7 linked regions of the Macaca mulatta genome follow. The protein of the gene in region 1 interacts with the protein of each later gene in a pairwise test. Links are inferred from orthologs where the notes say so. Each region holds a gene or a part of one and is shown in the gene's direction. Other genes may lie near its edges. The genes, in order: PNMA5, RAD23B, TBC1D22B, VIM, CCNC, ZMYND19 and ZBTB25.

Region 1 (4,337 bases):
GGCATACGCCTGTAATCCCGGCTACTCAGGAGGCTGAGGTCGGAGAATCGCTTGAACCCAGGAGGCGGAGGTTGCAGTGAGCTGAGATCATACCCTACTGCACTCCAGCCTGGGTGACAGAGTGAGACTCCGTTTCAAAAAAAAGAAAAAAAAACTTCAGGGAGACGTATTCCACCCTCGACCCTGCCCGGAGACACTGCAGTCAGGACAGTAGCTCTTGGCCCTTGCCCTTGAGGGAAAGTGGCTTCGAACCTTCCCCTCCTAGATTCTGCCTGCTTCCACTGGTGTCGGTGGTGTGGGTGTATGTAAATAACAGGGTGGGGATTGGGGGAACAGGGAAATGGAGGTGGGGGTTTGGGGACATCAGTTAGACTTGCATGGAGGTAGGAGTTGGACTTGGTGAGGGGGCAGGGCTTGGGGTAGGAGTTGGACTGTGGGTGAGGGCAGGGCTTGAGGCGGGAGTTAGACTTGGGTGGTGGAAGGAGTTGGACTTGGTGGGGGGCTAGGCTTGGGGTAGAGGTGCAACTTAGTTGTAGGCAGAGTTTGGCAGCAGGCGTGCAAGTTTTGAGGTGGGGCTTAGGAAGGGGTGCAACATGGCTGCAGGGGTGGGGCTTGGGAGGGAATGAAGTTTGCAGTGGGGGTGGGGCCGCAACCTTACCTTAGGATCCCTTCTGCCCTAGCAGCAGCCCCCCCGCCCCCCACCTCCCTCCTCACCTCCCACCCCTCTCGCCATTCTTCCCCCCACTCCTCCTTCCCCCCCACCCCTCCCCCCTTTCCCCCCTCCTCTTCCCTCTGCCAGTTGTGCAGTTTCTTCTACCCCTGCACCAGGGTCCTAGTGGACACCTATGCAGAATCTGAATTGGCATGGCCTGAGCAGGGACATGTGTGTGGGACAGAATCACAGCAAAATACCTGTGCTTTGCCTTGGACAGATCCAGGGAAGCAGGAACCATCACGCCTGAGTCAGGAACTGCCTAATTGGATAGAGTTGAAGAGCAGAGCGACTCTGAAGTGACTGTGTTATTGCAGCATCTGCGCTGCCAGCAGGGCCAACCCAGAAAGGTGAGCAGCTGTGAGGTGGGCCCTGTTGGGAGGGTCTCTGGAACCCCTGCAAAGAGTGTGGAGAGGGGACTGCCTGCCAGCGTTCACAGACTCTGCAGGGTAGGGCCATCTCTAGGGCAAGAGTTGTTGGTTTCCTGCAGTCTGGCAGTGGGGACCTCATCAGGGTCCCTTTTCTACCTGATTTCAGCTTCCACACAATTGAAACCATGAGCTCCTGTCCTTTCAGCACTCACTCCTCAAGCCCACCTCGCCTTCCCTCTCCCACCCTCCTTTTTGCTGGGAAGCTTTATTGGTTGGAGGCCAATGACATCACCTGTTGCTTCTCAAGGACCTTAGCCTTACCACATGACACTCCCCTGCAATAGCAACCCATGGTCCATGGTATTCTCTGTATCCATGGCAACACTGCAGCTTGTCACACAATCTCCACACCCACCACTCTCATTGCATTGCGCAGAGCTCGGCCATCTTTCTCATCTGTCAGGCGTTCCTGAGAAAGAGGGCCATTCTACCTCTCCTGCTGCCAGCCTTCACTCCAGCAAGGAGGGTGCTGGGTGACCTGAGCCCACATAGCCCTGAGTGAGCAGTGAGGCCGTCTCCTGCCCTCTTCTGCCTGGAGAGCTTGTCAGTGTCCCCAGATGTCAGGCCCTGCCTCCTGACTTTGGCCTTTTCACTACAGATACCCGAAGCACACACAGCAGAGTCCTCTGGACTTCGAGGAGGAACCCACAGCAGGAGGAGGTCAGCAGGGAGTGGTGAGATGAGGAGATCTTTGCCTGGGGAGAACCTCCACCCTCTACCCTCCCCAAAATAACTTGGGGAACCCTGGGAAGAAGGGACTCCATCCCTGCTCGGGGGTGGGGGCAGAGGAGGGGTGCTTGGGGGTATAGGTTGGGGTAGGCATTAACAATGCTCTCATCCCATTTGCTTTGCAGGCTGTGGAAACCTGGGACCACTTCTACCTTCCTACGTGGCAGTGGCTCAGAGTTATTTGAGTGCTGTCAAACTAAGCTGATTGCTGCCCTAGTATTAGATCAGTCCATAGAAAGTGGGAGCAATGGCATTGACACTGCTAGAGGATTGGTGCAAGGGGATGGACATGGACCCCAGAAAGGCCCTGCTGATCATAGGCATCCCCGTGGAGTGTAGTGAGGTGGAAATTCAGGACACTGTGCAGGCAGGCTTACAGCCCCTGCGCGCATACAGGGTGCTAGGGAGAATGTTCAGGAGGGAAGACAACGCCAAGGCAGTCTTCATTGAATTGGCTGACACTGTCGATTACACTACTCTGCCTAGTCACATACCAGGAAAGGGGGGCTCCTGGGAAGTGGTGGTAAAACCCCGTAACCCAGATGACGAGTTTCTCATTAGACTGAACTACTTCCTGAAAGATGAGGGCCGAAGTATGACAGATGTGGCCAGAGCCCTGGGATGTTGCAGCCTCCCTGCCGAGAGCCTGGATGCAGAGGTCGTACCCCAAGTTAGACCCCCACCTTTAGAGCCTCTGAAAGAAAGTATGTGGTACCGGAAACTGAAAGTGTTTTCGGGAACTGCTTCCGCTAGCCCAGGTGAAGAGACCTTTGAAGACTGGCTGGAGCAGGTCACTGAGATAATGCCCATATGGCAAGTGTCTGAGATGGAGAAGAGACGGCGTCTGCTGGAGAGCTTACGAGGGCCTGCTCTGTCAATCATGCGGGTGCTCCAGGCCAACAATGACTCCATAACTGTGGAGCAGTGCCTTGACGCCTTAAAGCAGATCTTTGGGGATAAAGAGGACTTCAGAGCCTCTCAGTTTAAGTTTCTGCAGACCTTTCCGAAGATTGGAGAGAAAGTCTCCACTTTCCTGCTGCGCTTAGAGCCCCTGCTGCAGAAAGCAGTGCAGAAGAGCCCCTTGTCAGTGCGCAGCGCAGACATGATTCGTCTGAAACATCTCTTAGCTCGGGTCTCCATGACCCCCGCCCTCAGAGGCAAGCTGGAGCTCTTGGATCAGCGAGGGTGTCCTCCCAATTTTCTGGAGTTAATGAAGCTTATTCGAGATGAAGAAGAGTGGGAGAACACTGAGGCAGTGATGAAGAATAAGGAGAAGCCATCAGGGAGAGGCCGGGGGGCCTCTGGTAGACAGGCAAGAGCAGAAGCCAGTGCCTCTGCACCTCAGGCCACCGTGCAGGCAAGGTCTTTGAGCGACAGCAGCACCCAGACTGTACAGGGAGGCTTACCCCCATTAGTGAAACGCAGGCGGCTGTCGTGCAGTGAAAGCACTAGGGAAGAAGACTATGGCCAGGCCATGTATCCCAAGGCTGAAAACCAGACTCCAGGCAGGGAGGGGCCACAGGCTGCAGGAGAGGAGTCGGGAAACGAGGCAGGGGCTGGGGCCATGAGCCATCCCAAGCCCTGGGAAACATAGGCTCAGAAGACCCAAGCACTCCTTCCCCTGGCAGGCAGCAGGGACATTTGAACAAAGGGCAGCTTACACTAACAGGGAACTTGATTGGGGCAGAGGGACAGGGAAGCCAGGTCAAGATCAAGCCCCTTTACTTTCCACCAGCTGGAAGGGACTTCACCAACCTAGACCAAATAGCATCTGGTTCAGTGGGGGCCAGGCCCATGGCCCCTAACAGGTATAGGAGACACAAGCAGGGAACAGCTACACTTAGCACAGGGGGTGGCTGGGCTTCAGATGGGGACCCCAACAAAGCAGGGGCTGAAGACGGTGTGGCTGGGGGCTCTGGCCTGGTCATCTGGACACCCCCAAATATCCACCCTGTGAACTTTGAGCTGAGAATGCCCACTGGCACCCAGGCCATGTGGGACCTGGAGGAGCCTGCCTGGGGCCTGCCTCTGCCAGAAGGAGCCAGGGCTGCTGAGGAAGAGCTGTGGGGGAGAAGTGAAGCCCGGCAGGGGAGGCTGCAGGGTCCAGCCCGTCTTTAGGATCATTTACACTGCATGAGGGGAGCCCCAGGAAGGCAGCATTCATGACCCCCTGCACCAGTGAGGAAGAGAAAGAGGAGGAGAATTAAGAAGAGGATGATCAGGAGGAGGAATAGGAGAATAAGGAGGGGCAGGAAGAAAAGGAGGAGGAAGAGGGGGAGGAGAAGGAGGAAGAGGGGAAGGAGGAGGAAGAAGTGTGAGAAGAGAGGACTTGTTGGGGGTGGGTAGTTGTTTTTGGTTTGCGTCATCACCAGGCCCAGGCTCTGCTCACTGCTGTTCCGTGTCAAGAACTCCACCTCTGCTTTGCCGGTGTAGATCTCGGCCAGCAGCTGCTTGTTCTCTTGGGG
Region 2 (3,576 bases), on another chromosome or scaffold:
AAGTCTCCTTACTGGGGTACTGACCATACCCACACATTGCTATAGGTCTGACTACAGAGCAGAACCTGGAACCTGCGGTCGGCTTAGGATTTACGCAGTGTTCTCCTTCGTTCGTTCTTCTGTGTATTAATAAAGTAATATAAACTGTTGATCTTGAAAAGGCCATTCTTTTATGCATTTCCTAGCTCTGATTATGATAGTCACCTCTGGTTGACAGAGGTCACTCAGTGCTTTGTGTACAGTCTCCAGAGGACAGGCCTTTTGTTTGTTGTGATTCAGCATGGGAGTGGAAAGAGATGGCCACAGCTCTGCTTTGGATTTGGGGTTCTGTTCCTTTCAGCACTTATTAGGTAACATAGTCTCTAAGTCTCATTGCCTTCACCTATAAAGCTAGTATTATATGTGGAAGAATAAAAAACCCATGTGCTATGGTCATTTCAGCTTGAATGATTGTCTTCCTGAATAGGAAATTACAACATACATCTAAAAATTCTCTTTTCTTCATTAGTAATCTCAAAAACATAATTCCTTTATGTACGATTTTTGGTTTCCTATAGCATACCAGAGAAGTACCAGCACCCTGAAAAAGCCACAAGTTCTGTATTTTATATTTTATTTGGCATTACTAACATTTATTATTGTGAATGGATTTTAGACTGAAGAGTTTAGGTATATTAGTACTAGATTGCCATACAGCTTATAAAGTAGTGAGTTTTTGTTTTTGTTAGTTGTGGTGTATATTTTTCTTAGGAACTTTTAAGCAACAGGAATAACTTTTAGCACTTTTTATTTTGATAGAACACGCGTAGCGGACAAGTATCTAGGATTATTTTATAACATTGAGTGCCAAGGGCGATTATAGGCAAGTTTGGTTCATGTTACAGTCAGCGTTCTGCACTCCCTGCATTTGCTAATAGGAGTAATTTTTGCCGTATAAAACTTGCAAGTTGATATGGTCGGAAGATTTCATCATTATTTACTTCATTTATTACATCTGAGAAATCATTTTTTACTTGATAGTGTTTGCTGTGTAAATGTATTGTTTAACCACTCTTTGTATATGTATTTACTGCTTTTGTTTAAAAACGTTTATGTGTATTTTAGGACATCCCCTTGAATTTTTACGGAATCAACCTCAGTTTCAACAGATGAGACAAATTATTCAACAGAATCCTTCCCTGCTTCCAGCATTACTACAGCAGATAGGTCGAGAGAATCCTCAGTTACTTCAGGTGACTAATCAGTGTCAGTTTCACAAGTAGGTTAGAGTGTATCACATTTTGAAAAAGTCCATGAACGGTCCTTCCCCGCCTCAAATACAACTCTGTATTTGAGAATGGTGAATGTATTCTTCCAAGCTACACTTAGTAAAATATTGTAATCTGGATAGGTGTACTCAAATAACAGTTGGGATATAGAGGTTGGGTTAAATTAAGTTGACCAAATAATAATAAGTTTGGGAAACATTTTATATTTCCTTCTTGGAGATTCCCAGTAGACATTAATATGTTAAAGAATTTGGGAAGCTGTTTAACAAAGAAACTGCCTAACTTTAAATCACTTTTCACAAGCTTATTTCTTAGTTCCTTTTTCTTAGGAACTTCTAAGCAATAGGAACAACTTACTCTTAGAAAAAATAGGTGTGGGGCTTCTTTAATGCTCAGATCACCAAGTATTTTGAATTTTATACAGCATTTTAGTGCCCACTAGTGTGGAAGGTAAAAGTATATGCAAGTATAAAGAATAAGTTCTGTTCTTACAGTGCCACAGTAGTTTGCTTGTTTGTTTTTTAGCACAGGAGGCTCAGAGCCTTAAGAATTTGAATTTCTTCACTGTTTACTTTGCCCAAAAGTACTGCATTTCTTTACTAATGTACAAGAAATCACATCCTTCCAAAGACTGAATAATCCAGAATCCCTAAAATACTACGTTTGCAAAAGTGTAGCCTTTTCTCTTAGTAATATTTAGAATTCCTCTGTTCCTGTAGATGCTTAATATCAATGTATTATTTTTCTCTGTCATTCATGTCACCACAGCAAATTAGCCAACACCAGGAGCATTTTATTCAGATGTTAAATGAACCAGTTCAAGAAGCTGGTGGTCAAGGAGGAGGAGGTGGAGGTGGCAGTGGAGGAATTGCAGAAGCTGGAAGTGGTCATATGAACTACATTCAAGTAACGCCTCAGGAAAAAGAAGCTATAGAAAGGGTGAGTTTAAAACTTTAAAAAAGTTAGTTCTTGGCTGGGCTCACTCCTGTAATCCCAGCACTTCGGGAGGCCAAGGTGGGCGGATCACCTGAGGTCAGGAGTTCAAGACCAGCCTGGCCAACATGGTGAAACCTCATCTCTACTAAAAATACAAAAATTAGCTGGGAGTGGTGGCACGCACCTGTAATCTCAGCTACTTGTGAGACTGAGGCAAGAGAATTGCTTGAACCTGGGAGGCAGAGGTTGCAGTGAGCCAAGATTGCGCCACTGCACTCCAGCCTGGGCAACAGAGTGAGACTCTAAAAAATTCCTTAGTCACACTAGCCCCATTTCAAGTGCTCAGAAGTCACATGGGGTTAGTGGCTACTATTGGATAGAACCAATGTAGAACATTTTCATTTACTGGAGATAGTTCTGATGGACAGAGCCAAATAGAGCATTGCCCTATGGATTGCGGTAAAGATAGTCTCCTCTTAACCCTGTTCCGCCATCTTGTCTTCTGTGAAGCCAAAGGACAAGCAGTAAAGGTATAATTTTATTGCTGTGTTAAAATTCAAGAAGAAAAAGTCTTAGAAGTAAATACCCAATTCTAGATTTTTTTCGGGTTTTTATTTGTATTTATTTTTTATCTATATTAAACATCAGAAATCTGCTATCCTGATTCCAGTAACCTAGTTTTTATATCGTGATTAGTTATTCTTTTTCTCCCTCATTTTTACAATAAACAGGGAATCATAGTAATCATAATACTTGCCCTGTCTTATCTTACTAAGTGTTTTGACGTGGAAATCAGATAAAGTGCATATTAGTATGGCTTTCTAAGTAAGTTTTGAAATTGGGAAGTGTTAATTGTTCCCATTTTATTATTGTTTCCCAAGATTGTTTTGGCTGTTCTGGATCTTTTACATTCTTGCACAAATTTTAGCATCAGCTTGTCTGATTCCTGCAAAAAAAAAAAAAAATTCTGGTTGGGATCTTGATAGGGATTGTTTTATTCTATAGATGAAATTTGTGGAGTATTGCCATATTAATAATAAGATTTTTCTATAATTTCTTTCAGTAGTGTTCTGTAGTTTTCAGTGTAGAAGTTGTGCACTACTTTTTAAAAAATTATTCCTAGGTATTTTTATTCTTCTTGATGCTATTATAAATGGATTTTTCTCTTAATTTCATTTTCAGATTGTTCATTGTTAACTATATAAAAAGACAATTTAATTGTGTTTATTGATCTTTTATCTTAAAACCTTCTTGAACTCTTATTTATTCATTAAGTAGTTTGTGCATGTGTTCATTAGGATTTTCCATATACAAGGTCATGTCATCTGCAGATAGAGACAGTTTTACTTCTTTTCCAATATGGATACCTTTT
Region 3 (4,293 bases), on another chromosome or scaffold:
GCTGTTCAGAATAAAGACAAAACATCAACCTTAACAAAGCCTCAGTACATCCCTCTTTGGGCTTAGTGTGCAGTGCTGGTCACTGCATCCTAAGAAAAAGAAGTGCCAGAGAATGGCAGGTAAAATGATTAAAAGAATACAGGGACTTTTTCTTTCTTTTTTTCCTGGGTTAAATGCCCATGAAGAAAATAAGATGAAAGTGTATAAAAGCATGAAAGATTCAGAAGAAGTAAAAATAGCCCTCATCATCCAATCCTATAATTCTAAAATTAGGGGACAAAAGAAGCTTGAAAATGGGAGTAATGTAGAAACCGTCGTTGGAGGACATACCCGTCGGGGGTCGGGTCTTTATGTATTCTCCAATATGTGGAAGTACATGTGGTAGCTGTAAATGGAGGGTGGCGGGGGAGTGGGGGACACGCAGCCCACCTCAACAGTCCTTCGATGGGACAAAAACCACTCTGGACTGGTGCCCGCTTTCCCTCTCTCCCCAAATCACCACGGAATACAACCACAGAAACTCAAAAACAGCAAAAAACACCGACAAGACATTCAAAGGATTCAAAATGCTAATATTAAATCTCATTGTCTGGGAAAATTAGATTGAAAATAAATTCAAGGGTGCAAGATTTATAACAGATTAACAAGGGAAATTAAGGATGTTGGTGGGGCCGGGAGGAGATACATCCTTAACTTTGTGATTCACACGATGGAGCTATACTGTGTCCTTCAAAGAAATCGTATTTGGTAATCTGAGTTGGACAGCTATGATAAACCATTTCCTATACACCGTTAGCATAGTCAGAAAGTGAGAGTTATGGATTGACATAGGGATTAGATCATTTGAATTTTTCACCCACAGCACAAGTCCTTCAATCGTTTTCAATAAACAGAGGGAGAGGGAGACTCTGATGAACCGTTGCTCACGTGTTGAGCAGTTAGCAATCCCGGGCTATCGGGTCCCTGCTGACCTTCAGAAAAACGAATGGACATCTAAACGGAACGAGGAAGGGAGGGTAATAACCAGAGTGTCATTGAGTTGAGAGATGTTAAAAATGGGCCACAACAAACACATGGGCCTTTACTTTTAGGTCAAATATTCCTATATATAAATACATAGTATGCTCTCTCTTGCCAAAAAATATTAGACTCAGGAACTTCATTCCTCACGAAGAAGATAATCCCCTCTCTTCCTTCCCATAGGTCCCTTACTTTACCTGCTTCTTCCCTCTTGCGGGTTAGGAACTTTGAGCCCCACCTCTCTGCTCGTCCAAGCTCCGCCTTCCCCGTCCACCTGTGTGCCCAGACCCTGACGTTACCCGTTGGCTTCAGCGGCCTGCAGGATTCCGGCTCCCGATTGGTCGGCCCGTCCACGGCTTGCGCAGCCCACCAATGGCAGCGGTGCTGGGTGGAGGGGTGCCCACATCCAAGATGGCGTCCCTAGGAGCTGGGAGCGGGTGACCGGCGGCGGGGAAGCGGCCTGGGTTGGCCCTCAGATTGCGGGGTCTGGGGGCATCTCGCCAGGCAACCCCTTGGCCCGCCTACAAGGCCTTCCCCCTGCCAGAGCAATGGCCGCTGACAACAGCAAGCAGTTTTGGAAGAGGAGCGCTAAGCTGCCGGGGAGGTGAGCCCAGGACGCTGAGAGGGAGAGGGTATTGGACCAAACCCTTCCAGATCCTAATCCCTAAATCCCGCGGCCCTGGGGCGCCACCGAGGCCGGAAGACTGGTTTGGGGCAGCTGTCAGGCAGAGGAGCGAACAGCGAGCTTTGGGGACGGCTGGATGTGGGTGTAGACCGGGGTCTGGGGGCGGAGGTTTCTGGAGGGGTGACCTCAGCGAGAAGGTGGCCGAAGATTGGGCGTAAAGGGGAGTGGAGTTGGGTGAGTAGTCAGTGTCGGCCCTGGTCTCGGGGGTTCCTCCCCAGAGCTGCTTCCCACTCTAATTAGGACTCCCTCTCAGGGGTCTCCACCACGCACAGGTGGTTGGTCGCTCGAGGATGGCTTGCTCCCCCAGCTCGGCACTTACCCGAAGGGTTCTTGTGGGAGTTTGGGGTCGCCTGCCGAGAGGGTTAGGCAGGAAAAGTGAGGACAATTCTCAACTCCGACCTTACTTTATCTTGAGTTGGCCTTTCCCACTGGGAATTATTACAAGGCGACCACAGAATCAGGTTATTCCTTTGGCATTTTCTAAGGATTTGTCCAACCCCAAGTGACTTCTTCCTCCCCTGTATTGTAATGCACTTCTTGTGCAAATGCACTAAATTCTTTCATTCTTCAGTTGTTTAGCTGGAGAGCAGACCTCCTAAGACTACTCCCACCCTCTTTGTGGTGTATGTTGAGACTTTTGGCAAATTATCCATTCATCAGTCTACTGTTGGTTTACTGTTTCAGTTTATTTTGGGCAAAGTCCTGAGAAGTATAAGGAAGAGTGTGTATTTCAGTCGTGAATCTAAGATTTCTGCCAGCCACAGTCTACTTGGTGATGAAATTCATGTTTGGTTGTGCCCCACGTGCTACCTTTTCTAATGGATTCAGGTTTTTTCTTTCTGGGATGATCTTTTGAACTCGTGACTTTTTTTTTTTTTTTTTTTTTTAAGCAAGAGGGAGATGAGGGTCAATAGTGGCTGAGTTAGAGCCTTACTTTTTTTTTTCCCCCCCCCCAATGAAATAGAAATAAGGTCTGACTATGTTTGGGCTGGTCTGTAACTCCTCGCCTCAAGTGATCCTCTTGCCTTGGCCTCCCAAAGTGTTGGGATTGTGGGCGTTAGCCACCATGCCCCACCAAGAGTCTTGTTTTATTAAGGATCCTAGTAGACATATGGAAAATAGGTGGAAATCAGCTTTTAGTAATACTTATTAAATAATAGAAAGATAACATCAGATTAAAGTGCTGCGGACTTGCGGTGTTGATATAACTGTTAAAGATGTTCTGTGTTTTTAGGTAAGCACCACTTCCTGCCAACTGATTCCTTTTCCTTCCTGGTTTAGTGAGCTCTCTAGTTGTGCTAACTGCTATTCTCCGGGGTTTTCCATAGTGAGATCATTAAATTTTGACATCCTAAGATTATAATCAGAATCAATAGGAAGACAGTTGTATCAGGAAGCAGTGCAAGAGATGTGGGACATGGCATGGGCTTCTGTGCCTTCTGACTGGTGGTTGCTATTAACAATCTTTTTTTCCTGTATTTCCTGTATTTGACTCTAAGAACAGTCAACTTTTTTAAAGCACTACTTTTCTGAGATAGGAAGAGAAGTCTTTTCAGTTTCTTCAAGCTTCTGGATTCCCTTTTCATTTCGAAGAATATAGAGAAATAGAGAACTTTTGAGTTCAGAAAGACTTGGGTTACTATTTGGGCTCTCCTGTGTGTGTGACCAAGACAAATAATCTATCTAGGCCTCAGTTTCCTTATCTATGAAATGAGAAATAAAAATACCTTCCTCAGAGTTACTGTGGGGACTAAGTGAAATACCCTATTTGTAAAGAACCTAGGACAGTGTTTATTTAGCACATTATAGTTGCTCAGAAGACAGTAGTTATTAATATTACTGTCATTATTAGAGCAAGTAAACATTTAAAAGAATGTTACTCAGATCCTTACCCCAGCTCATTGTCTTCCTTGTTTGTTTTAAGGTATTCAAATATTGTCACAATTCATAATAATTTTTAGTACCTTACTTGGTAAAGAGAAATATTTTTCAGCTGTGTGCTTTTAGCAGTAAAGCCCACAAGCCTCTGGTCGTGGGAGAAAACTAAGGTTCTTTTAGATAGAAAGGTACTTTGATTTAAAGAAAATATTAGAGCATTTTGTCAAGAATAGAACTTTTGCATCTGTACTCTTTCGGTCTTAGGGAAGAAAAACTTTCTCCTGGGTGGGGAAATGACACAAATGACTGTACTAGACGCATGGCAACTTGGAAATGAAACTGCTTTACTCTTCATTGCAAATTGAAAGGTGAAAAATCAAAGCGATGACAAGATTCTTTCTGTCTGATCATGATCCAACAACCTTAGTGACAACAAATAAAAATTTTATTACATAAAATAACAAGTTACAAATGAATGAAACATTCTTTTTAAAAATAACAGCTTTATTGAGATATTAATATACCATGAAATTCATTCTTTTAAAGTGTACATTTCAGTGGTATTTAGTATATTCATTTATAGTACAGATGGTTTTGTGCAACTATCGCCACTAATTTCAAAACATTTTCATCATCCCGAAAAGAAACTACATACCTGTTTACAGTCACTCCCCATCCACCCCACTCCAGACCCTGGTAACTACTAATGT
Region 4 (2,942 bases), on another chromosome or scaffold:
AAGTAAAAATGAATGTTTTCATCAAGTCTGATCTTTTTATCACCCACTCTTCATTCATTTTTCCACTAAGGTGATAGAAAAGTCTCAACAGTTTAAGACCATAAGGCTATAAACTGAACTCCAAATATAATTGCTGACAAGATAAACAATCCTCACGCATCCTTTTGAGAGGAAATAAAATCTTAGTTGCAAGATTACATGTTCTGAATTGGAATGTTGAGCTTTACAAATGGAAACATAGAAGGACAGCTGAATCAGCAAAAATCCTTCATGTAGTTTCATTCTCTGCAAGTTTGACCAGTCATTCTGAAACAGGCCAACTGAACGGATACAGTGGCAAGCGAAAAAGACACGCCTTTGTAGGATGAGTCAAAGGAGTTTTAGAAGAAAAATCCATCAGAGAAAGCAGAGAAAATACAGTTCAGAGTTACATTTCTTTTCCAATTTTTCCTGAACTGAATCTTTGGCAGCATATCCTGAATTGGGTTATTATTGAATATAAATCTAGCCTTGTACAATGGATGCCACATGATTGCATATTTGCTTTGGAGCCTAAGGATAAGTTTCAAAAGATTTGAGTGGGGAAAAAAAGCTAAAACTCTTGAAGCACAAGTTTCTGTTCTCCATGTACTCAAGTGTACATGAAGTTATGAAAATATGTCCACCTCTATCATCATGTTATTCCATGAAATTACAAAACAAATCTTAACAATGTTGTGGCATAGATTTTCTAGATTTAAAAGGTAATTAAATTAAAGGAATTACTTTCTTTTTTGAGACAGAGTGTCACTCTGTTGCCCAGGCTGGAGTGCAGTGGCGCTATGTCAGCTCACTACAACCTCTGCCTCCTAGGGTTGAAGAAATTATCCTGCCTCAACCTCTCAAGTAGCTGGGACTACAGGTGTGTGCCACCCACCCAGCTAATTTTTGTATTTTCAGTAGAGATGGGGTTTCGCCATGTTGGCTAGGCTGGTCTCAAACTCCTGACCTCAAGTGATCCACCCGCCTCGGCCTCCCAAAGTGCTGGAATTACAAGCAAGAGCCACCATGACCAGCCTTAAAAAGTAATTTTAAAATGTCACTGGTAAAATGTGGATTCAGTCATGATTGAGTGCAGTTTACCATGTGTGTGGACGTTTATTTATTTTAAAATTGTCCGATCACCACCTTGAGTAAAACACAAGGGGTCACAATTAAAATATATTAGTGAGCAGGAGAAAGCACAGCATATTATAGCACTGAATGATTTATAAACCTATTCAAGGGTCATAAAATGTGTCAACACCTTTTCTATAGTAAGGAGACTAGGTTCAGATGGTTAATCTAAGACAAATAAATGAGATAAGCCATAGACTTTTACATCCTCCATGTCCTGTCTTTTCTCTGTTCAAAATAGGATGTTGACAATGCGTCTCTGGCACGTCTTGACCTTGAACGCAAAGTGGAATCTTTGCAAGAAGAGATTGCCTTTTTGAAGAAACTCCATGAAGAGGTTAGTGGAGTGACTTTTGGGGAATGAATGAGGGTAAGGCAGCCCCCACGGCTGGCACAGCTGACCGTCTGTCTGTTCTTTTTGCAGGAAATCCAGGAGCTGCAGGCTCAGATTCAGGAACAGCATGTCCAGATCGATGTGGATGTTTCCAAGCCTGACCTCACGGCTGCCCTGCGTGACGTACGTCAGCAATATGAAAGTGTGGCTGCCAAGAACCTGCAGGAGGCAGAAGAATGGTACAAGTCCAAGGTAGGAAACAAATCAGTGTGGCTTGAACAAAAGAAAAGCATTGTGTTCTCAATACCCCATACCTGTGTGCGATTCCTAAATATCCTCTAGCTCCAATGCAAAGCTGGCTTTGACTTCTTGCTCACATTGTGTTTGTCGCCACGGCCTTCCCACCACTCACATCACCTCCTTTATATATATATATGTATATTTATGAGACAGAGTCTTGCTCTACTGCCCAGGCTGAAGCGCAGTGGCATCATCTTGGCACACGGCAGCCTCCGCCTCCCAAGTTCAAGTGGTTCTCCTGTCTCAGCCTCCTAAGTAGCTGGGACCACAGGCAAGCACCACCATGTCTGGCTAATTTTTGTCTTTTTAGTAGAGATGGGGTTTCACCATGTTGATCAGGCTGCTCTCAAACTTCTGACCTCAGGTGATCCACCCGCCTTAGCCTCCCAAAATGTTGGGATTACAGGTGTGAGCCACCACACCTGGCCACATCACCTCGTTCAGAATAGCAGACTCCCTTTTCCCTAACCTTGCCTCCAAGTAAACCCCAATGCCATACCTTTGACGTCCACTGTGTTGAAATGAGCATAGTAGAGTGAACTTTGAAAATATTAATGTCAGTACTCCACTGCTCTTTCCCTGACTTTCAAAACAGAAATTTAAACCTATACTGGAAGACATTCAGTGAGAAATACGATTTTTTTTCTAAGAGAATCAAAAGACTTGAATGTGAGCAATCTACATTTCTGTTTTCTTCCTAACAGTTTGCTGACCTCTCCGAGGCTGCCAACCGGAACAATGACGCCCTACGCCAGGCAAAGCAGGAGTCCAATGAATACCGGAGACAGGTGCAATCCCTCACCTGTGAAGTGGATGCCCTTAAAGGAACCGTGAGTACCAACCCTGCAGTAAAAGAGGGAAAATAACGACTCATTCTGTTGACTAAGCTCATGGTGATAACCTGAACAAAATGCTAAGTGAGTAAAAATTTATACCTTAATGCAAAGAAAATGAATTATCAAGACAGACTCAAAATGGACTTGATGGAGCTCTTGAAGGTTTTAGCTTGCATATATCATTGCTTCTCATATGAAGGACTTGGTACTTGTATTCTCCACCAAAAATTATAGTGGTCGCCATTTGCCACTAATGGAAATTATTGCAGAAGGTCTGTAAATGTTTCTGGGAACAGCTGGGGTTTTCTGAGAAATAA
Region 5 (4,101 bases), on another chromosome or scaffold:
ACAAAAATTAGCTGGGCGTGGTGGTGCGCGACTGTAGTCCCAGCTACTTGGGAGGCTGAGGCAGGAGAATCTCTTGAACCTGGGAGGCAGAGGTTGCAGTAAGCCTAGATAGCGCCACCGCACTCCAGCCTGGGTGACAGAGCAAGAGTCTGTCTCAAAAAAAAAAAAAAAGAAAAGAAAAAAGAAAAAAAAAGAAAGAAAAAAAAAAAAGAAAGAAATCGCTTGATCCAGGCCGGGCCTGGTAGCTCACACGCCTGTTAATTCCAGCATTTTGGGAGGCTGAGACGAATGGATCACCTGAGGTCAGGAGTTCCAGACCAGCCTGGCGAAATCCCCTCTCCACTAAAAATACAAAGATTAGATGGACGTGGTGGCACGCGCCTGTAATCCCCGTAATCCCAGCTACCGGGGAGGCTGAGGCAGCAGAATCACTTGAACTCGAAAGGTAGAGGTTGCTGTGAGCCAAGATTGTGCCACTGCACTCCATCCTGGGTGACAGACCCAGACTCTGTCTCAAAAGTAAAAAATAGGCCGTGCGCGGTAGCTCACGCCTGTAATCCCAGCACTTTGGGAGGTCGAGGCGGGCGGATCACGAGGTCAGGAGTTTGAGACTATCCTGGCCAACATGGTGAAACCCTATCTCTACTAAAAATACAAAAATTAGCCGGGCGTGGTGGTGCGTGCCTGTAGTCCCAGCTACTCGGGAAGGAGGCTGAGGCAGGAGAATCGCTCGAACTCCTGGAGGCGGAGCTTGCAGTGAGCCGGGATCGCGCCACTGCACTCCAGCCTGGACGACAGAGCAAGGTAAAAAAAACAAAAAACAAAAACAACAACAAAAAAAACTTGATCCGTGAGAACAAAGTCATCTTCATTTATTTCTCTTTCCAATCACAGGTAAAATAAGTCACAAAATCTTTTATTTTATTACAATGCCATTGTTCTGTTTTTGAAGTCCTGGAAGAGGTAATAACAGAACCCCGGAACTCAGCCACTTCGCCCAGGTTAGACCCCTACTCAGCAACTCCAGTGCTGAGGACAGGAGACCGAGCGCCGTGGGCCCCCGGCCAGAACAGGCAAGACGCTCTCGCGAGAGTCTTCCAACCGCCGTGAGCTCTCGTGAGCACTAGTTCTCTTCTATCTCAGCGCCCCCACAGGTCAGCACCTCCCCGCCGGCTCCCTCCGCTACCGCGGGCCGGAACTTTTGTCGATAGGAACGGGTTTGCACAGTTGAGTGTTGTCGGCCGGCGTGAAGGAGACTAGGGGGCCATCCTCTTCCTTTCGCCGTCGCCGCCGCGGAGCGGAGTCGAGCCGAGCTGATTTGATCGAGGAGCGCGGTTACCGGACGGGCTGGGTCTATGGTCGCTCCGCGGGCCGCTCCGCCGGCTGGTGCTTTTTTATCAGGGCAAGCTGTGTTCCATGGCAGGGAACTTTTGGCAGAGCTCCCACTAGTAAGTGATCTTACGTCTTCTCACCTGGGGCCGGTTTTTGGGGGGCTGTGAGGAAGGGGCCTGCGACTCCCTTGGGCCTGGATCCCGGCTCAGTTCCGAGTGCCGGGGTCCTCAAGGGAGACGGCAGCGGCCAGAAGCAAGATGCTCTTTTCTGAGGCGACTCCCCTCCCCGCCCCCAGCCCGTTTCGGGGAGGGAAGGATCTGTGAGGGGGAGGGGTGGGAGAGAGTTTAGTCTCCCAGGAAGAAACGTTTCAGAGTTTAATTTCGGATTTTTAGTTTAACTAGGCCGCAGGGGGTCGGATAGAGTGGGCACAGGTACGGGAAGTGTGACTCAGCTCAAGACTGTGAGGCTACCTGTTCAGGACAGTTGTGGCGTGCTTTTGCTTGGGATTTCTTCGGGTGATTGGCGTCGTGGTCTTTTGTCATTCACTGTATATCTTGAGTGGATTTAATATTCTGAGGAGAGGAGAAAGTCTGGCTTGTTTCTGCCTACTAACCTCTTCTTGCCAGTACTTTATGTCTAGATGGAGTTTTATATTGATAAGGTATAGGGCAGGTGCCCTGTAAACTTATCCATTTCATTAGCCTGTGCCTTATATTTTGTTTTAAAGGCGTATTTTTCCAGTGATTTTGTTTCTCTATTTCTTTAACCTTTTTCATGAATAAGTTCTTGTTTCTGTCAGTGACTATGTGAGAGCTAGAATAATATTAAAAACATTTATCTCTAAATACATTTGTTTAAGCAGGCAGGAAGGTGCGTGATGGGGTTAATTGAACATTGAGTAGGCTTTCCACTGTATAGTTGAAAGATGAACAGAACTTGACAAAGAAGGTATCTTAGTATAATTTTTTATGCTAAGAAAGCATTAGTAAGTAATTTAAATTTCGATTCTGTGAATAGGATCTGTTCCTGATGTTCATTTTTTAGCCCTTTGCAAGGAGAAAAAAGAAACAATGAACTCGGTAACCTATTTAAGGAAAAGCAGGTTTTCCTCTTGCTATAAAGTGATTCTGTGGAGATGACATGTTAAAGAGGCAGGCAACTGATCATATGTGTATGTGTGTGTATATATATGTGTGTGTGTGTATTATATATATGTTGCATTGTTTTCACACACTGAAATATTGCTTGGGCAGAATTAAAGTATCGAAAGTTTAGGTATTGGAGTTAGAGCTCCTGAAAAAAAAATTTAGGTAGTGGAGAAGAGAGATTCTGATAAACTTTGAAAGAAGCCGAGAGAATTGACAAGTAGCTGACTGGTGATTTGTCAGTTTTTCAACTTAAAAAAAAGCTCCTACCTTTTTTCAATGGTGTTCTCATTATGCTTTCATTTATTCATAGCGTTATAAAAACATTTTTTCACTTTTCAAATATAAAATTATTACAAAGTTAAGTGTACTTCTTTGAAACTATTCTCCCAATTCAAATACTCCTAAAAGAAGGGATCACTTTGCCTTGCTCAGATCCCTTGAGCAGTCATAGAGTTTCTTATCTGGAAAAGGTAACAAGTATGGAAGACAAGACAATTCTGGAAAAACAAACAAAAGATTTTGAAAGGCCATTGTTTTAGCTGAATTTGGTGAAAGAGGGCAATTGACATTAAATATGCTATATTTCATGCTTCTAAGATGCATATTTTCACACTTTAACATCTTTGAAATGAGCATGGCAGTTTCTTTCATAGCATATGAAATAATGATGAATCCAAGATGTAATCTTAAATTTGATGAAATGCAGTATTTATAAATTTTTTTAGTTTATCCTGCATACACAGCTCTGAGGAAAATTCATAAAATGTTTGTGAAATTTATGAAATTTATCTTTTTAAAAACATAAAATGACTCTGTGGGGATGAAATTAATTAGCAAACCACAATGTAGTTGAAGTAGAACAAAACACAGTCTGTGACCAAAATGAACTAGAAGGGGACTAAGTATTTGCTGGGTTGATTGAATGCATTAATGAAGGAGTAACAAAAATAGAAACTACAAAACTAACTGTGGATACTTTATTGTGTGAAAAAGGAAACTGAAAATACAGTTACTTAATATCTATAAAATAACATCATAATATTACCATATATGGAATGTAACCAAAGCTTGAATGTATTAGAAAATCAATATCCTGAATAATTGAGAGATAATAGAAATATTCTATTTAATAATACTAAGAAGGAAACATGAAATAAGCCTAAAGAAACAGGAAGAAGATCTTAAAATAGATAACGCTGATGCTAATATATTAAAAGGAAAAAAATTATAAAAGATCATTCTTAGAGTAAACAAAAACAGTAGACGAAACTACTGCTAGTTAAATCAGGGGAGAAAGGAATGATACAAAAATACAAAATTAGGAATGAGAAAAGTAAACCCAAGGGTACTTTTGGGTTATCTCCAGGGTTTTAAATTTGAAAGCCAAAGCAAGTTAAGAGTATTACCCAAGAACTATGCCTTATTTCATGGGTAAATACATCTTTCAAGAGAATCTCCTTTTGAAATTGTTCCATTTCATACAGAAAGAAGAAAAGCTTTCCTTTACAAAGCCATGATAACACTTACAGAAAAATCTAGTAAAGGGAACACTAAAAACAGTCTCACTTTTGAATACTGATGCAAACATTGTAAATGAATTATTACCAAATACAGTCTAACA
Region 6 (4,338 bases), on another chromosome or scaffold:
CCATTCTCCTGCCTCAGCCTCCCGAGCAGCTGGGACTACAGGCGGACGCCTGACTAATTTTTTCTATTTTTAGTACAGACGGGGTTTCGCCATACTAGCTAGGATGGTCTCGATCTCCTGACTTCGTGATCCGCCCGCCTCAGCCTCCCAAAGTGCTGGGATTACAGGTGTGAGCCACTGCGCCCGGCCGGACAGGTATGTTTTGAGCAAGGCCCAGCCTGAATCCCAATGTGTGTCTCAGGCAGGCCAGGACTCATTATCCCCTTCTCTCCTCTAGGGTGTCTGGGGTACTGGTAAGTACCAGGGGACCCAGAGATGGAACGTCTGGGCTCACTCATGAACACCCTTTGCAGGCTGGGGCACGGTGGCTCACACCTGTAATCTCAGCACTTTGGGAGGCAGACGTGGGCAGATCACCTCGAGACCAGCCTGGCCAACATGGCAAAACCTCGTCTCTACTAAAAACACAAAAATTAGCCAGACATGGTGGCGCGTGCCTGTAATCCCAGCTACCTGGGGGCTGAGCCAGGAGAATCGCTTGAACCCGAGAGGCAGAGGCTGCAGTGAGCCGGGGACGTACCACTGCACTCTAGCCTGGGTGACAGAGCAAAACTGTCTCAAAAAAAAAAAAAAAAAGAAAAGAAAACAGAACGCAGCAAGCCAGAAAGGGGCCCGGGCAGCTCCTCAGGTGGCAGAGTCGCCCCTTGCGGCAGGGTGAGGCCTCCCCGCGGGCGACCGGACACCGGCGGAGCAGGACACAGGACCTAGCCCCGTTCGCTCCAGGCTGCAGGGGAGGCCACGCTGCCCACCACGGCGTACCCAGTCCCTCCCTGAGCGGGCCTCGGCATTCCCGCGGAGCCCAACCGGCCTCACTGGAGTTCCGTTTCCAGACGCCCTGGACCAGGCTGCTCCGGCGGTCAGCCGCCCCCGGGGCTGAGGAACCGGCGGCTCGGAAAAGGCTGCGGGGGAGGCCGCGCCCTCCGGGTCGCGTGGGCCGGGCGTCCGCGGTCTCTCCAGGAGCACCCGCGTCCCGCGGCAACGGCCTCTTCCTAGCCCGCCTCGCCCGCTCCCCGCCCACCCAGCGGGCCCCACACGCGCTCCGTCCGCCTCCTCCTTCCGCGCTTGGGGCCAGGACGGCGGCGGGAAGCAGCTTACGAGGGCCACTGCAAGGGAGGAGAAGGGCGTCCAGCTCGCAGAGCGCCACAGACCCGGCGCGAGTCCCCAGCCGCGCTCCGCACGGCGCCTCCAGGAGCAGCGCGGCGGCCCGCACAAAGCTTCCCGCGAAACTGACGTCGGCGCGCGCAGGCACCGCCCCCGACCTCGCCCCTCCCCCGCGCTCGCCCCGCTCCCCAGAGCGCCGGCGCACTCGCCCTCCTCCCATTGGTTGCTGCGGCGCGGCGCGCTCCGGCCGGCGCCGTGCGCGCCTAGCGATTGGCCGAGCGGCGGCGGGCCGGGGGGTGTGTCCCGGGCTGCGCCCCGCCCCTCCGCTCCGCTCGCTGTGGTGCGCGCGGTGGCGGCGGCAGCGGCGGCGGCGCGTGGCAGGTCCGGCGGGCGCGAGGCGGCGGCGGAGGCCCGAGCCCGGCCCAGCCTCGTCCCGCCCGGGGCCCGCCTGGCTGCTACCCCGACCCCGGCTCCGGTCCCGTCCTGCCCCGGCGCGCCGCGGCCTCGCCCCGGCCCCCGCCCGGCGCCTCCCGAGGGAGCGGCGCTGCCGGCCGAGAGCGCAGGCCCGGCCATGACCGACTTCAAATTGGGTATCGTGCGGCTCGGCCGGGTGGCCGGGAAGGTGAGCGGCGCGGAGCCCGCGGCCCGGCCCGTCTCGCCCGTCCTGGCCTCCGCGCGGGGCCGGGGGCCGGGGCCGGGGGCGGTTGTGCGGGCGGCGGCCGGGGCGGGGGCGCGGAGCCCGGGATGGGCCCCAGCGGGGCGGGGGACGCTGCGCGGGCCCGGCTGCTGGCCCCGCGCGGGTGCAGCTTCCTCTCGCAGGCCGGCGGGCGCGCACCCCTCGGCGGCGGGGCGCACCTGGCCGCCCTCGGCCCTGCCCTGCCGGAGGCGGAGGCCACGGCCCTGTCCCGAGCCGGGCGCGGAGATGCGTGGCTCGAGCCCGGCCGCGTTCTCCCGGAGCCCTCCCCGTGGTGTCGGGGAGCCGGGGCCTAGCGCGGCGTCCGGGCTGCCGGTGCGGCCACACGGTTTAAACACAGCGCCCTTTCCGAGGCAGCGCCACCTCCACACCTCTCGCCGAGGCGGGTCTGGTGTGGGCTCTTCTCTGCCTCCCAGTTCTCAGCAGGGCTTCGGGCTCGTTTTAACGCTGCCAGGGGTTGGCCAGGTTAGGCTGAGCCTCGGGCTCAGAGCAGAGAGGAAGAAGCCTGGGCCCTGATGCAGACTCAGGGCCTTCCTCGATTTCTCTTCTTACCTGGCCCCCACGCTGCACGTTTGAGGCTGGGGATTCCATGGCACCTGTGGGCACTGAGGCTTGGCGGTTTCTCGGAGCCACCTGTGCAGCTGCACCAGCCGGGGTCCTTACCCGGATGGGAGCCCTGTTGCCGTCACCAGCGGCTGCAGCTTCTGGTGGGAGAGAGGAGCGGAGGCAGTGTCAGGCGGCGTCAGGTAAAACAGCTTCAGATCCCAGAAGAAAAACTGCCAAGAGGGAGACTGGCCCGTTCTGGGACCTGTTCCTGTTTCCTGCCCCTGCTGCAAGAGCATAGGCAGGGCCTGCTGGGGAGGAGGCTTTTTTCCACCAGGGAAGGGTGGGCTCCCCAGTCAGGTCAGAGACCTGAGACCCCTTCTGATTCCACCACCGATGACATTGTCATCCCTTACAGCTTTTCTTTGGAACATTTCAGATGGACAAAAAACTGAAAAGGGCAATTCAATGAGCAGCTCAGCTTAATAAACACACCCTAATCATAACCTTCTGGCTCTTCTGCCTCAGCCTTGGACCCTCCCTCAGCTCAGTGAAACCGTTTCTGCCTAGGTTTATTGGTGTGTTAAATGTTCCGTGCCACTGTTGGAGTTAGGCCTGCGAGGATGAGGCCTGATACCAGCTCCTCTGGAGCAGATGAAAGTGGTCTGCTGTCTTTTAACCAGTCTGCCTGTGTTTTGGCGTAGACTGCACCACCCCAGATGGTGGAATGAGGCCCCCGTGTGCTGAGCTGTCTTGGTCTGAAGACGCCTGTGGTTACTTTCCACTTCACAGGAAAATGCAACAGGCTCCTGCCTGTTCTGGTTATAAGGTTACTGCACCTCACGCAGATCTCAAATGTAATGATTTGAAACATGTGGTTAACTTTCAGACCAAATACACGCTGATCGATGAACAGGACATCCCGCTGGTGGAAAGCTACTCCTTTGAGGTAAGTAAGGATGCCTGTTCCCTCCCTTAATGCTTGTGGTCAGTGCCCAGGAGGGTCACGAGGAGCGAGCCCTCCCCTGTGCTGCAAGAGCAGGTGGCCCCACAAGTGGACATCTGGGGCTGGCTGTGAGCCCTGAGCCCTCAGCCCCACATGGAGCCGTGGCCCCGCAGAACCTGGCTGTTGCTCCCACTGTGGCCCACGCGGCTTGGCGACACTGGTCTTTCCTCACTTTCACCTCAGCTGTTAGCTCTTCTTGAAAGCAAATGGAATGTTCTCACGTTTGCGATTGTGTCACGTGGACCATGTCTGTTAGCTCGAAGACCTTGTTCCTTAGAGCTTGCCACCTGCTGAGCCTGCGCTAGCCCCTCCTGGCTGCCCAGCTGCCTCCCGTTCTCTGCTCTCATGGGGTCTTCCTGCCTCTTCCCAGCTTCCGTTCCTGCCACTGAGCTTGGCCTCCCTCACCACACTTTATCTCTGTGCCCCACACATTCACAGTAGTGACTTGTCCAGGGGTTTCTCTATCTCACTGCACTGTGGGCTTTTTTCAAGGGTAGGAAAATGTATTTGTCTATGTCCATTGTATTTTGCAGAGTTGTTTGTGAGTGTTTCTTGCCTGGATAGACAGAGTGGTGGTGGGCCACGCTGGCCCCTGGGAGCCATGTGCCTATGGGAGGCTCTGCACTCCCCAGGGTCTCAGGGACAGGGCTGGCATTTGTCCCTCTGGCTTGCTTGTTTCACTTGGTTTTTCTAAGAGGGAATTGAAGTGTTGCTGAGAATTGGAGGCTTTTTAACAGCTCTTTCCCTTGTTCCTTCTCAGGCCCGAATGGAAGTGGATGCAGATGGAAATGGTGCTAAGATATTTGCCTATGCCTTTGACAAGAACCGAGGAAGGGGCTCTGGGAGACTCCTTCATGAACTGCTGTGGTGGGTGTTTCCAAGCTGCCTCTGCCCCCTGCCACTGGGCTCCTGGGTGAGCTCCGATGGCACAGGG
Region 7 (4,163 bases), on another chromosome or scaffold:
ACTAATTTGGGAACTAGTCTCCGTAAGGGCTTTGCCTCCGACTCAGGGAGGCCGCACGCCCGGGACCTGACGCGCCGGCAACAAGCAGGCGGCCTGGCAGCCGCCCGTCACCGGGTCCTTGCAACGCGTCCGCCGCGCTCCGGCTCCCCGCACGGGTCGGCGCCGCTCCGGCCCCGCACTCCGCCAGGCCCGCGGCCCGTCGCCCTCCGGCCCGGGCGAAAGTTGCGCAAATAGCCCCACAACTGGCAAATACTTACCGGCCGCAGCAGGAACCAGAGCTGCGGAGATTTTAGGGAGTTTAAGGCAAATCAGCCACGGCAAAGGCGGGCGGAGGCGAAGGGGCCGCGAGCTGCAGTGGCGGCGGCGCTCGGCGCTCGGCGCTCGGGTTGGGCTGCGCGGAGAGGCTCTGGCTCTGCCAGGGACTGTGCTGCAACAAAGGACTTCCGCTGCCGCACAGCCGCGCCTGCCGCACCGCACTGAGCCGGCCCCGCTTACGCGGCGACTCCGGGTCTGCCCACCAGTTCGCTGCGGCGTCCGCCAGCCTTCCCCTCCCTCTCGCCCGCCCACCCACTCTGCCGCTGGCTGCTAGGGGCACCCGCGGTCGCCTGTTTGTTGCAACAAGTTTCTGCGTCGGGCTCCGAGGAGGCTGGCGCAACCCGCACCGCGGGGGCTGTCGCGGCAGCGGCGGCTTGACCACCCCTCTCGCCCCTCTCTCAAGGGTAGGCTTGGGACCTCCTCCTCCTCCTGTTTGCACAGCTGGATGTGACTGGGCTCCTCCCGACTCCCCAGGGCAGTATGCGCGGCTGTTTTCCCACTCTGTCCAGATGTCAGACCCCTGCCCCGTTGGGCCCAGCAGCTGGGCCGTCCCTCGCGGTCCGCCTCGAGTGCTTCGGAAACCTCGCTCTGTCCGGTCGGTTCAGGGTCGCCTAGTCCCCGCGCTCCCCCCACCCCACCTTCCGTGGGCCTGTCCGCCTCTGGCCCTGAGTCACTTCCCTCGCCATGCCCCACCTCGCCCAGTCCGCCTCTCCACCCAGGCTCCCGCGGCTCGGCCTCCCTGGCCCCGCGCCCTCATCCCTTCCCCAGCGAACACGCGGGCGCATCCTTCCCCACCCCCACCTTCACCCCAGAACTGAGGGGGTGCCTGTGCTTTTGCACACCCTGGGGAAAGTCCCCGGGTCACGCGGTTGTTTGTGGGGAGCCTGTGACGCTCAGGCTCGTCCCTGTGCTTCCGCCTACAGAGTCACGACTGCGAACTGTAGCGGCAGCGCTCAGAGCGCGGGCCGACCCCCGCCCGGCTGCGGGCGGGAGGGCGCGCACGTACGCACGCACGCACGCACGCACACCCTGGCCTTGGCGCCCCTCGTTCCCCTGCTACCAGACACGCGGTCACGTGGGGCCATCGCGGGCTGCCGGCGCGGGAAGCCGCGCGAGAGCCAGCCGCGGGGTGCGTGAGCCGGCTCCACCGCTTGCTGTGCGCGGCTTGGGAGCCCGCCCCTCCTGCACGGAGGAGTCGGCTTGCCGCCGCGGCGGCATCTGGGTAAGCGACGCGGCCCAGCCCTTGTGGGCTGCCCCGGTCTCAGTCCCTCCCGCCGCGAGCCGCCCAGGGCGGCGGCCTGCAGCTGCACCGGTCGCGGGACAGATGCAAGTAGCTGGGGAGAGGGGTGTTTTTGGTCCCATTGAGATGTCAGGCAGGGCACAGGAGGAAAATACATCCGCGAGTGAGCGCTGGGCCAACAATACCCAGAACCACCCTTTGCTGCTGCTAGGAGCGGCCGCCGGGGCCTGATTCAGGGTGGCACACGGGGTGCCTTGAAGGTGCGGAGCCGTCCGTGCTGCGGGTCCGGGTGCGACCCCTAGCAGGAAACCCCAATAGGCCTGCGGCCTCCCCCGCTTGGCGCCCACCGCTCTTAGGAGCGGGCGACTTTCCATATGCTGCGAGGACGCTGCGGCTAGTGTTTCCACTCCCAGCTTGTGATTACCTAGTTTCTAGGGCAAGAAGACTTTCCCCGCGCCCTCATAATTTATTTTCTGTCTTCAAATGTTTATCTTGTTCTAAGCAAATCCAGTTTTTCTTTTTGAAGCTTGACCCATCACCGCCTTCTCTGGCACTCATTATTTGGAGTAATCAGGTGTTATCAGTTGCGGAGGCAGCGCATAGCACAGCGTAGTACCTGGAACTTGACAGCACCTAGCATGTTTTCAACAGTCAGCGCCCGGGTCTCCCCCAAGGGATTAAATTTGGCATTCTTTCTCTTGAAACTCAAGTTCGTCTGGCAGAGCTATTGATCCTCTCACAAGACTATCAAGTGTGTAGAGTACACTTTGGAATCTCACGTTTTAGAGCTGAGCGGTGCCTTACAGAAAATCTGTTGATCATCACAGAGAAGACACCAGGCCTAAAGAGCGTGATGTAACTGGAGCTAGCTACACCTCTTGATAGCTAAGACTCCAAGGCTCCAGACACCTTGGTGATTGCACTCTCCACTATGCCAGGACCGCAGTGCCAGTTTACCCCACTCACCTGTAGAGAATGTATCCGGCGGAGGTCATTATACTTGGCTTGATTCAGATTATGGAGAAATCAGGCATGGCCACTGTGTGGGTTTGATAGTATTTCTAGTGAGGTAGGCCAGCTATGGTGTATTTTTGGAACTAAAAGCCTTCACCCCTCAGCCACCCCTGAAAATTTCATTGCTGTTCTCTTCAAGAATAACCATTATTTGCAGCATTGGTTGCTTCCTTATGTTAAGGCATCAAAGTCTTCTTTAACAATCTTCATATATTTTAGTTAAGGGCAAATCATGAATCCGTTATCGGACATCAGCTCCTTAACAGGGAACAGAACACTGATGGGATAGGACATGGAATAGATTAGTTCTGAGAGCTGGCAATCAATGAAATATCAAGGTATGGTCAGGAAGAAAGCAGAGAGGAACCCACATAACCTGCTACACCTTTTTTGTCCAGTCCTACCTTGAATGTCTTATTTGCATGTATTAGAGATGGATTCTGCTCAAGTTGGCCGCTGTTTACTGAATACTTGCAGTGGGCGAAGTATCATACTAGCTGCTTTCATAAATGAACTTTGTATCTTTACCAAAAAGGAGATGGTACTGTCTTCATGTTACAAGCCTGAGGAAACAGGCCATTACCTGGGCTGTGGTGATATAGTCATTTGCAGTAGAATTTAAGCCTAGATCGCTTATCTCTCAAGTCCAATCAGTGCTCTTTTGCATTATGTCTTGCTCCTGCTTCAGCCAGGAAGGGAATGAGAGAATCGCCTGTGGCTGATTTATTGGCGCCTGTGGTTGCCCAGAGAGGCCAAGCAGGACTTTCAGCTGCCCTCTATGCCTTACAAAATGGAGCTGTGAGCTTCCACCCTATCTCCTGAGGGGAATGTGAAGGAGCCAGGCTGTCTAGCTGGGGAGGAGGGGCCCAAGTGCCTTGGCCGTAAAATATCCTGGCCAGGGCTGTGCTGGGAAGTGTTGCATAATGCCCTCCCCACCACTGAACCAAAGTGATTTATTTACTATGGTCCGTAGGTGGTGCCTGACCAACTTGTCCGTTTTAGCAATAACAGGGCCAGAAAAGAGTTGGGGGTTTTATGTTATTGCAGGGTTTTTCCTTGTTTTAAACAAGCAGTGCAGGTGCTCTTATCTTGATAAGTTATAAAGTGCTTCTTTCTACACCACTTCCTGTGCCCCTTTTCTGCATATTTATTCCAAATAGCATGTGAACTTCAGTCTTTTAAGGAGAGAAAGCTGAGAAAATACTGCTCTAGTTTATTAGCACAGGCTATGGAGACAGACCTGGCTTTTTATCTCCGCTTTATACCATTTGTTGATTGTGTGTCCTAAGCATAGGATTTTTCCTCATTTGTAAAATGGAAATGAAAATAATACATTAGTCATCACAGTGAGGATTTTAAGAGATAATGTATATACAGCACTTAGCACAAGGCCTTGCATATAGTATTTATTATAATAATAGGTTTTGAAAATAACCAGAATAGCAGTATTCTCCTTAAGAAAGGAAAGATACTGCTATTTGAACCTGCTTAGGGATAGAGGAGGAAGAAGAAAGTGTTTGAAGCAAACACCAGTTTCAGGATTATTTATTAAATTTATTTATACTTCTAGTTTATTTATTTATTTATTTTAGAC

Evidence for each region.
Region 2: the proteins of PNMA5 (region 1) and RAD23B interact in binary tests that used the Homo sapiens proteins (3 or more experiments, as listed by UniProt). The two-hybrid records come from large-scale screens. The link is inferred for Macaca mulatta from reciprocal best matches to the Homo sapiens genes PNMA5 and RAD23B.
Region 3: the proteins of PNMA5 (region 1) and TBC1D22B interact in binary tests that used the Homo sapiens proteins (3 or more experiments, as listed by UniProt). The link is inferred for Macaca mulatta from reciprocal best matches to the Homo sapiens genes PNMA5 and TBC1D22B.
Region 4: the proteins of PNMA5 (region 1) and VIM interact in binary tests that used the Homo sapiens proteins (3 or more experiments, as listed by UniProt). The link is inferred for Macaca mulatta from reciprocal best matches to the Homo sapiens genes PNMA5 and VIM.
Region 5: the proteins of PNMA5 (region 1) and CCNC interact in binary tests that used the Homo sapiens proteins (3 or more experiments, as listed by UniProt). The two-hybrid records come from large-scale screens. The link is inferred for Macaca mulatta from reciprocal best matches to the Homo sapiens genes PNMA5 and CCNC.
Region 6: the proteins of PNMA5 (region 1) and ZMYND19 interact in binary tests that used the Homo sapiens proteins (3 or more experiments, as listed by UniProt). The two-hybrid records come from large-scale screens. The link is inferred for Macaca mulatta from reciprocal best matches to the Homo sapiens genes PNMA5 and ZMYND19.
Region 7: the proteins of PNMA5 (region 1) and ZBTB25 interact in binary tests that used the Homo sapiens proteins (3 or more experiments, as listed by UniProt). The two-hybrid records come from large-scale screens. The link is inferred for Macaca mulatta from reciprocal best matches to the Homo sapiens genes PNMA5 and ZBTB25.

Annotation. Positions count from the first base shown.
Region 1 is NC_133426.1:159,265,419-159,269,755, reverse strand, and holds the start of PNMA5 (paraneoplastic antigen-like protein 5), read left to right. Parts: upstream 1-1,510; 5' UTR 1,511-1,641; exon of another isoform or gene 1,642-1,741; 5' UTR 1,742-1,803; exon of another isoform or gene 1,804-1,817; intron 1,818-1,997; 5' UTR 1,998-2,119; coding exon 2,120-3,466; 3' UTR 3,467-4,337.
Region 2 is NC_133420.1:51,067,504-51,071,079, reverse strand, and holds part of RAD23B (UV excision repair protein RAD23 homolog B), read left to right. Parts: intron 1-1,104; coding exon 1,105-1,232; intron 1,233-2,036; coding exon 2,037-2,207; intron 2,208-3,576. UniProt on the Homo sapiens protein: Multiubiquitin chain receptor involved in modulation of proteasomal degradation. Binds to polyubiquitin chains.
Region 3 is NC_133409.1:144,981,016-144,985,308, reverse strand, and holds the start of TBC1D22B (TBC1 domain family member 22B), read left to right. Parts: upstream 1-1,422; 5' UTR 1,423-1,568; coding exon 1,569-1,624; intron 1,625-4,293. UniProt on the Homo sapiens protein: May act as a GTPase-activating protein for Rab family protein(s).
Region 4 is NC_133414.1:18,791,352-18,794,293, forward strand, and holds part of VIM (vimentin), read left to right. Parts: intron 1-1,396; coding exon 1,397-1,492; intron 1,493-1,579; coding exon 1,580-1,741; intron 1,742-2,493; coding exon 2,494-2,619; intron 2,620-2,942. UniProt on the Homo sapiens protein: Vimentins are class-III intermediate filaments found in various non-epithelial cells, especially mesenchymal cells. Vimentin is attached to the nucleus, endoplasmic reticulum, and mitochondria, either laterally or terminally.
Region 5 is NC_133409.1:86,296,628-86,300,728, forward strand, and holds the start of CCNC (cyclin-C), read left to right. Parts: upstream 1-1,283; 5' UTR 1,284-1,416; coding exon 1,417-1,448; intron 1,449-4,101. UniProt on the Homo sapiens protein: Component of the Mediator complex, a coactivator involved in regulated gene transcription of nearly all RNA polymerase II-dependent genes.
Region 6 is NC_133420.1:4,862,130-4,866,467, forward strand, and holds the start of ZMYND19 (zinc finger MYND domain-containing protein 19), read left to right. Parts: upstream 1-1,500; 5' UTR 1,501-1,732; coding exon 1,733-1,783; intron 1,784-3,287; coding exon 3,288-3,347; intron 3,348-4,164; coding exon 4,165-4,271; intron 4,272-4,338. UniProt on the Homo sapiens protein: May be involved as a regulatory molecule in GPR24/MCH-R1 signaling.
Region 7 is NC_133412.1:137,601,756-137,605,918, reverse strand, and holds the start of ZBTB25 (zinc finger and BTB domain-containing protein 25), read left to right. Parts: upstream 1-1,358; 5' UTR 1,359-1,537; intron 1,538-1,539; exon of another isoform or gene 1,540-2,486; coding exon of another isoform or gene 2,487-2,545; exon of another isoform or gene 2,546-2,624; intron 2,625-4,163. UniProt on the Homo sapiens protein: May be involved in transcriptional regulation.